2 linked regions of the Oryzias latipes genome follow. The protein of the gene in region 2 purifies or fractionates together with the protein of the main gene of each other region. This does not show direct contact. Links are inferred from orthologs where the notes say so. Each region holds a gene or a part of one and is shown on either strand. Other genes may lie near its edges.

What was found.
Region 1: the proteins of cdk20 (region 2) and fkbp8 purify together in Homo sapiens (affinity purification with mass spectrometry; 5 studies listed by BioGRID and IntAct, with this or other methods). This does not show direct contact. The link is inferred for Oryzias latipes from reciprocal best matches to the Homo sapiens genes CDK20 and FKBP8.

The regions. Positions count from the first base shown.
Region 1 is NC_019862.2:8,042,374-8,046,291, reverse strand, and holds the start of fkbp8 (peptidyl-prolyl cis-trans isomerase FKBP8), read left to right. Parts: upstream 1-1,239; 5' UTR 1,240-1,676; coding exon 1,677-1,708; intron 1,709-1,808; coding exon 1,809-2,059; intron 2,060-2,220; coding exon 2,221-2,390; intron 2,391-2,506; coding exon 2,507-2,595; intron 2,596-3,040; coding exon 3,041-3,261; intron 3,262-3,539; coding exon 3,540-3,712; intron 3,713-3,779; coding exon 3,780-3,857; intron 3,858-3,918. UniProt on the Homo sapiens protein: Constitutively inactive PPiase, which becomes active when bound to calmodulin and calcium. Seems to act as a chaperone for BCL2, targets it to the mitochondria and modulates its phosphorylation state.
Region 2 is NC_019865.2:33,771,990-33,775,807, reverse strand, and holds part of cdk20 (cyclin-dependent kinase 20), read right to left. Parts: coding exon 3,722-3,818; intron 1,890-3,721; coding exon 1,768-1,889; intron 1,690-1,767; coding exon 1,627-1,689; intron 1,366-1,626; coding exon 1,242-1,365; intron 1-1,241. UniProt on the Homo sapiens protein: Required for high-level Shh responses in the developing neural tube.

The sequences.
Region 1 (3,918 bases), on a different chromosome or scaffold from region 2:
TAACTCATACATGTAACTAAATGTAATGAAAAATAAATGTACATACTCTTTAATGTTAAATAACTCATTAGTTATTTATTATAACTTTTTAAAGTGACAATTACAGCGGCATAGAAAACATGTGTTTGCATGGTACTCTAGCATAAATCCTTTTACATTTGATTCTGACAGGTTAGGTTATATTGGCAGTGTTTAAGTCCTAATGGATAGTTGCCCAATCAGATATTTTCAGATTCCCCCAAGATATGAATAAATACAAACCAATTTGTATTTTTATTCTAAAAAACTAAAAACTTTTATGCTCTCGCGGCCCACAAAAAATGACATGGTAGGCCACATTTGCCCCCTGGGCCTTAAGTTTGACACATGTGGTCTAGAGTGAAGTAAAGAAATGTCTTTTGGGCTCATGACACCAAAAATACTTCCGAGTTCTTCCTTTGCTTAAAGTGAAAACTGCTAATAAGCAAAGTTTCCCGGACATTCTTGTTAAAAAATGTCCAATCGGCAGCACATCGGAGGCAGAAACAACACAGAGATCGTTTAAGCTTTAAAAGTAAAAATGTGTGAGGAAATCCAGGAAGAATCACTCACAGCTTTGATGACTAAACTTGCGTTTTCATCTTTCGCTATTCTTTGGTCACATTTGGATTTATGTGACACCAAAATCAGTTGAAATGTGTTTTATAGTTTACAGTCCAGAATGCAGCTGCTTCTTTTTCACAGGAACCAGAAAACATGAAGACATCAGAGATTTTACATTTCACCACCATCTGAAAGAATTTACAGGACTGACCAACAAGCAGTTCTCTGTTTTTCAAAGTAAAAGTTCTGTGCCAGCCACTGATTCTTTTACCACCCTTCAATCAGTGAAACACATTTATCAGTAAAACTCCTTTATTCATTTCAAATTTTTGTTTTTAACTAGTAACAATGTTTAAGTACATTATTTATTGTGTTTTTCTATCTTTGAAACTTATTTGGGCGAACTTGTCTGGTTCTTCGGTTCATCAAATGTTTAATAATGATTGGAACTGTGTGACATCAGGATCTAAAGCATAACAGATCTTTCTGCTCTAAAAGGTTCGCGTTTTCGTGGTGAAGGATGTTCTCCGTCGTTTCATGAGTGAGCACAGGGTGTTTTTTAATGGAACCATTAAGGGGGCTTTTAATCTGAAAGCAGAGAAAAGCTTCTTGAAACATTAAAGCGATGCAGAGTGCTGCTGCGCATGCGCGAGGATCTACCGCTGTGACGAAGTCAGCCTGAGTGTCCACTGTGGCCCTTCCCGTTGGCGCCGTGCGCTCTAGACTTTTCTATTCGCAGTCTAACTTCCTGCGTGAGCTTGAAGGATCGGGACGCGGCTGTTGGACCAAAACAAGGCTGGAGGTGAATGTTCGCGTTCTAATTTACAATTTTAAGAACTTTTCTGTGTGTGTTCCTTCGTTTGGAAGTGATTCTAATCGACGACTTCGTTTTGTCAAAATGTCAGTGTCACTAAAAACTCTTAGTTTGATGGATGCAAATAAGCTAAGCCGCTGGCTCATAGCTAGCTAACCCAGCCACCTTCAGCTAACGCTAGCATTAGCATGTAGGTTTTGACCGAGAAACCTCGTTACTTTTTAAAAACCCACGGAAACGTCAGGTTTTCTGAAGTTTGGAGTAAAACTGTCTGCATGCAATGTTGGGGAACTGTAACGGATATCCTGGTCGGTACGTTAACGTCAGATTCTGCTGTTTGAAGAGCTTTTCTGTGAAGCTCAGAGATAAGCGAACAGAAAACGAGCTTCCTCAGTTTGACTGTCTTCTCCAGAATGGAGACCGTGGAAGCTGCAGACGGCCGCGAAAACGCTTCTTCTTCTGCCAGAAAGAGCGGACAAACGTCGTTGCTGGACAGCGGAGAAGACTTCGAGGTTGTGGATGAAGAGGACTTTGATGAGGAGCCTCCTCCTTTAGAAGATGCGGGAGGTGGGATGGAGAAAAGTTCAGATGAGACGGCGAAGAGGTCTCCACATGAAGAACCAGAGGCTCCGGCTCAGCTGGATGAGTGGTTGGATGTGTTGGGTGAGTCTGGCACTTGTTTGGCCTCTTCCCGCTGATGTTTCTTGGAAGAGAGAACAGTTCTTCATTTGTCTTTTGAATCTGACAGGTTCTGGAAGTAGTTGTGAGTTCCAAACAAGCATTTGGTGGTAGTTCTTGACAAGCCAACAGTTCTCTCTCTGCAGGAAATGGCCAGCTGAAGAAAAAAGTCACGGCGCCCGGGAAGGGACGAGCCAGTCGGCCTCAGAAGGGTCAGAACGTACGGATCCACCTTAAAGCTAGCCTGATCGATGGGACTCTGGTGGAGGAGCAACCTAACTTCTCCTTCACTTTGGGAGATTGTGATGTTATCCAGGTAAACCCTTAGTGGTGATATATGTCAGGGTTAGCCCCAACGCTCAAAATTACGTCTGCAGGTCTTGTTTTGTGGATTTGTCTCCGGTCAAACGTCAGTCAACACTTTTCTTCCAGGCTCTGGATCTGACGGTCCAGCTTATGGAAATGGGAGAAAAGGCTCTGATCCAGTCAGATCCTAAATATGCATATGGAGACAGAGGAAGGTGGGAGATAAGCTACTCTACATCAAACGCTGCAAATTGGTGATATAGAGAATTTTAACCATCCTTTAGAAAGATGGTAGCAGAGCCCAGAGTCTGAGGAGCCTCCAAATGAAATACTTTTTATTTTACTCACAGGTGGTTTAGTAAGTGGGAGGGGCTTTTTGACACACGTGGTCAAAAAAGTCTTGACATGTCTCACATTTACATAAACTTGGGTCAATAAGACCTTAAAAAGCAAACATTTGTCTTTAATTCAAGAGAATCTGTGTCTTTTCCTGACATGGGGGTAAAGGAAAGGAATCACTGGGAAATAAACTGTATGGATCCCTGGAGATTCACAGAAACAGACTGACTATGCCATCCTTTTTTTTTTGTTGGGGGGGGGGGGCGCTGCTGTTTTTGCTTCAGTCACTAAACCTGCCTGTTTTTTTTTTTCTCGTGTCAGTCTTGAACCTCGTGTTCCTCCAAACGCTCAGCTGTCCTTGGAAGTGGAACTCCTGGAGGCCACTGATGCCCCCGATGTGGAGCTGCTGCCCCCCGCAGAAAAGATTGCCCTCGCCAGTCGTAAACGAGAGAGGGGCAACGTCCATTACCAGCGTGGAGACTATGCGTTTGCAGTCAACTCCTACAGCATCGCCCTGCAGATAGCAGAGTCCAGTTCCAAAGGTGAGACCTTCATGACGCCGTCCCGCTTTCCCGGCAATGAAAGCTCCTCCCCCTGATCATCTTGCGGTGACTGATCAGTAACTGCAACTTTAAACCAAACAATGACGTGAAAATCAAAGCCCTGCAGATGTGAATGAGTCTTCAGTGGATCTTTTTAGCTTTTTTGCTCTGATCTTAGATTGAGATTTATTTCAAACATGTGAAGCAATACAAAATAATAATAATAATACATATAAAAAGAAGGAAGTTTGATATTGTCGTTGTGTTTTGTGGGACAGTGGACATCCGGCCGGAGGAGGAGGACGAGCTGCTGGATGTGAGAGTGAAGTGTCTGAACAACATGGCCGCCTCTCAGCTGAAGCTGGACCATTACGATGCTGCTCTGAAGTCTTGCGTTTCAGCTCTTGAGCATCAGCCAGACAACATAAAGGCACTTTTTCGCATGGGCAAGGTTGGCCTCAGTCCCGGAGCTTCTTGCTGCTGCTGAATGTCTGCTAAATGGTTGTTCTTTCCTCTAGGTTCTCTCTTTGAAAGGTGAATACACAGAAGCTATTCAGACCCTGAGGAAAGCACTGAAGCTGGATCCCAGCAACAAGGTCATTGAACTGTTTTCTCTTGGCAGATTGTCATTTTTACATTTGGCCAGTAGGTGGTGCC
Region 2 (3,818 bases):
AGGAACAATTCCACTGCGGACTTCCTCTCTCGCTGTCCCAGCGAGAGTCTTGTGGGGGAGGGTGTGTGAGGGCAGAACCCACTGCCCCACAGCTAAGTTAAGTTCATTTGTTATATTTTTCTCTTGAATAAACCATTTCATTTTATTTCACACATTTCATAACAAAATTGACTTAATGACTTGTGCACACATTTAGTTAATTTTGTATTGTTTTGAGTAATTCTATTCTTTGAGTTCTGTTTGAGGCCTGATGCTGGGGCAGAGGCTGGAGCAGGAAACTTCCTGATGATGTGGCAGTGGGAGGAGCTGAAGAAGTTCCTGATGACTTGGAAAGGGAGGAGCATGGACAACTTCCATTTGGAGAAGATGGAGGGGAAAGACGAAGTGTATTCTTATGTTGGACTATTGTTTGTATTTTTTGGAATATGTTAAGCTTGCTTTGAGGTACAAGTTCAGTTTCTGTTGAAGCGTTAAATTACTAGTAATTTACTACTTTAATTAATATTTAGGTTTTGAATGTTTTGTATTTGTGCTCCCCTCCCTATTGTGTCATTGGTCTGATCAGCCAGTATAAAATCTCCCTAATGTTTCCTGTAAGGGGGTCAGTTTGAGTTCAGTTGGTTTGAGCTTTTGTTATTGATTCGCTCAGTTACATTTTTGTTAAGTTGACCCCATTTTAATTTGAGCCCCTGTCGTGTTGTGTTGGGTAAAATAAAAACCCCTGATTTGAAGATCTTTTTGTCCTGTGGCTCAATCTCTGCCGAGCGGACCCTGACACTGCCATTAGATTGTTTTAACACATTTAAGGTTTATGATTTATTGCGATATTTGCCGTTAGAAGCAGCATGAAAACTTCTGAACTAGTGTTACCTACTACACTGCAGTGCTCTCTTCAAAACATCTGAAACAGACTAGAGCAGATTTAAGTTTGATATGGTCTATTTTCAGTCATTGAAAAGTGTAGAAATAAGTGATGTCACCAGAATGCACCAAATTGCACCATATTAAAAGTTTCCGGGGGGGCATGCCCCCAGACCCCCCTAAAGTTGCAAGCACCTGCGGAGCGGCGGGTCCCGCTATGCGCGGTGTCGGGCCAGTAACTTTCAGGCAGGGCCAGTAAGTTTCAAAAACTACTGGCCCTGTGGGCCAGTGCAAATTTCTGGGCTATGTCAACCCCTGCAGTGTTGGTCTATTGAGCACAACAGCACACACTTCCATGCTGTTGTCCACTATAATCTCACCGGCCAACTGTCCACCGTTGGTGTTCCCAGGACTCGTAGGACACAGCAGAGCTGCTCGATGTCATTCTCTCCTGGGAACAGAGGAGACGAGTTCAAGAGCTCGCCAAAGATGCAGCCCACCGCCCTAAAACACAAGGATAGTATGTGCAACTGTGCATCCATACACACCTGCATCATATGAGAAGCTGCACACACAAAACCACATGGACACCACAAAGACATTTGCATGTGTGCAGACACACACACAGACTTGACACATGCACCTGCACACACACTCAGATGGACATGAGTGTCTGCTCACATTTGTCACATTTGTGTACACAAATGCAGACATGTGCACCTGCACACACAAACACACACATCCTGTTACAATGCGTCATATTACCACAGGTCCACTCCCTGATCGTAGCGGCGTGCTCCATACAGCAGCTCTGGAGCTCGATACCACCTAAACACAGACGGATCAGAGCTCCTGTCTAAAACATTGAGCACTTTCAGGTTCATGCAGAGCACTGCTTGGCTCTACCTGGTGGCCACCTGGTGGCTGTAGAGCCGCCTTCCCTCATGGCTGAAGAGCCTGGCTAAACCAAAGTCTGCAATCTTCAGGTGACCAGAGGAACTGATAAGGAGGTTGGCTGGCTTCAAGTCCTGCAGATCAGAGAAGTTAAGCTGACATCAGCAGAGTTTCAAATGTTTGCCCACATTCTTTATAAAAGGAAAGCCCTTCTGTTGAGGTGACTTTGCTGTTGAAGCCTCCTGAGGAGCCGATGGGTTTGGGGTGCTTCTGTCATACACATATGCAGGGCTCGACATAGCCATTTGTCCGCTGGCCCGGTCCTGTTTTTCGAGCAGTGCGGACCACAAGACTTTATTTTTTACTTGTCCACTCGGGCCACTAAAATATCTAACAATTAATACATTTTTCACCTTTTTCAATAAAGTATATTTTGCGAAAACGTGTAGATTTACCTCGTCTTTATAATTCACTTTTTCTGCTAGTCCTGTGTTCAGACTTCAAGGGTTTCTATGGGAAACCTTTTATCACTCTTCTCCTCCTCTCCCGCCTGCTTGCGCGGCTTTCACTGCCGAGCACCACGCGGCACGCGCTCACTCAATTTTTTTTTCAAACTTTATTGAATGTAACAATTCAATACTAAACAATGTTAAACGGCAACAACGAAGGAACAAGCCAGTGGGTTATTATTACATTTTAGGCAGATATATTTAAACTGACACACATATCAGCGCGCCCCCTGGTGGTTTTTCACCGCGATGATTATAAATCCAACACCGTCACTGAAGAGACACTGAAGCATGTCAGAGATGTGGAAGACATGGCAGGAATAGATAGGAATATGTTAGATGGAGTGACGGGTGGAATTAGTACTATGGACAGCAAGATATTTAATGAATGCATTGAAGATGAAACTGTATGCACTAAGCTTTAAGCTGAATGTCAAAGAATCAAAGGCAACTCAAAATACCTGAATCTCAGACTCAAACGGAGTATAATGTCAAAGTACTTAATTTTGTTTTTCTTTACAACACTGTAAGCAGTAAGTATTTCTAGTTAGCTGAATGATCTCAGTAATTTAATTGTATTTAATTTTTCAATTATTTAATTTAATTAGGTAACTAAAGTAACTAAAAAGTAAATGTAACTTTGCAACAGTAACAAAAAGCAGAACCTTAAGGCAGTCAGAGCAAAAAAGTCAATAAAACTTCTTAACTATTGATTAGGAACAAATGTGAAATAGCAGTGATTAGAGGCAGCATGAAAACTTCTTAACTAGTGTTAACTACTACACTGCAGTGCTCTCTTCAAAAAATCTGAAACAGACTAGAGCAGATTTGAGTTTGATATGGTCTATTTTCAGTCATTGAAAAGTGTATAAATAAGTGCTAGATGTCACCAGAATGCACCAAATTGCACCATATTAAAATTTTCCGGGGGCATGCACCCGGACCCCCCAAAAGTTGCAAGCACCTGCGGAGCGGCGGGTCTCGCTGTGGGCGGTGTCGGGCCAGTAACTTTCAAAAACTACTGGCCCTCTGGGCCAGTGCAAATTTCTGGGCTATGTCAACCCCTGATATGCCACAGTCAGTTCTGTTGTTTTGATTTTTTTTACACAAAAAAACCAAAGGGATAAAATAAGTTGACTTTGTATGAGTTAATGAACCTGATTGACCAAGACCAGACCAGAAAGGGTGACCGCAAAGAACCCGATAGCAACAAAGTGGCACGAAACAGCGGTCAACAGAAATAAACACCCCAAGATCTCCTCTCCTTCATTCCAACTGCAGGTGAGAAAGTGCTCATCTAGTATTCCACCCAGGGGTCGCTAATAAACAAATTAAGAAAGGTGAAACATGCAAAACTACTAAGTAGAAAAGGAAATGTGCAAATACACTACATTTTGGCTCCTTCCTTTACCAAGAGAAAAACCTGACTACCACGTTTTCTACACACAGGCACTCACCCGATGCATGATGTTGTTTTGGTGTAGAAAGGCCACACCCTTTAGCAACATCACCATGTAGCCTTTGACCTGTGCTGGGGTCAGATGTCGCTGGTGG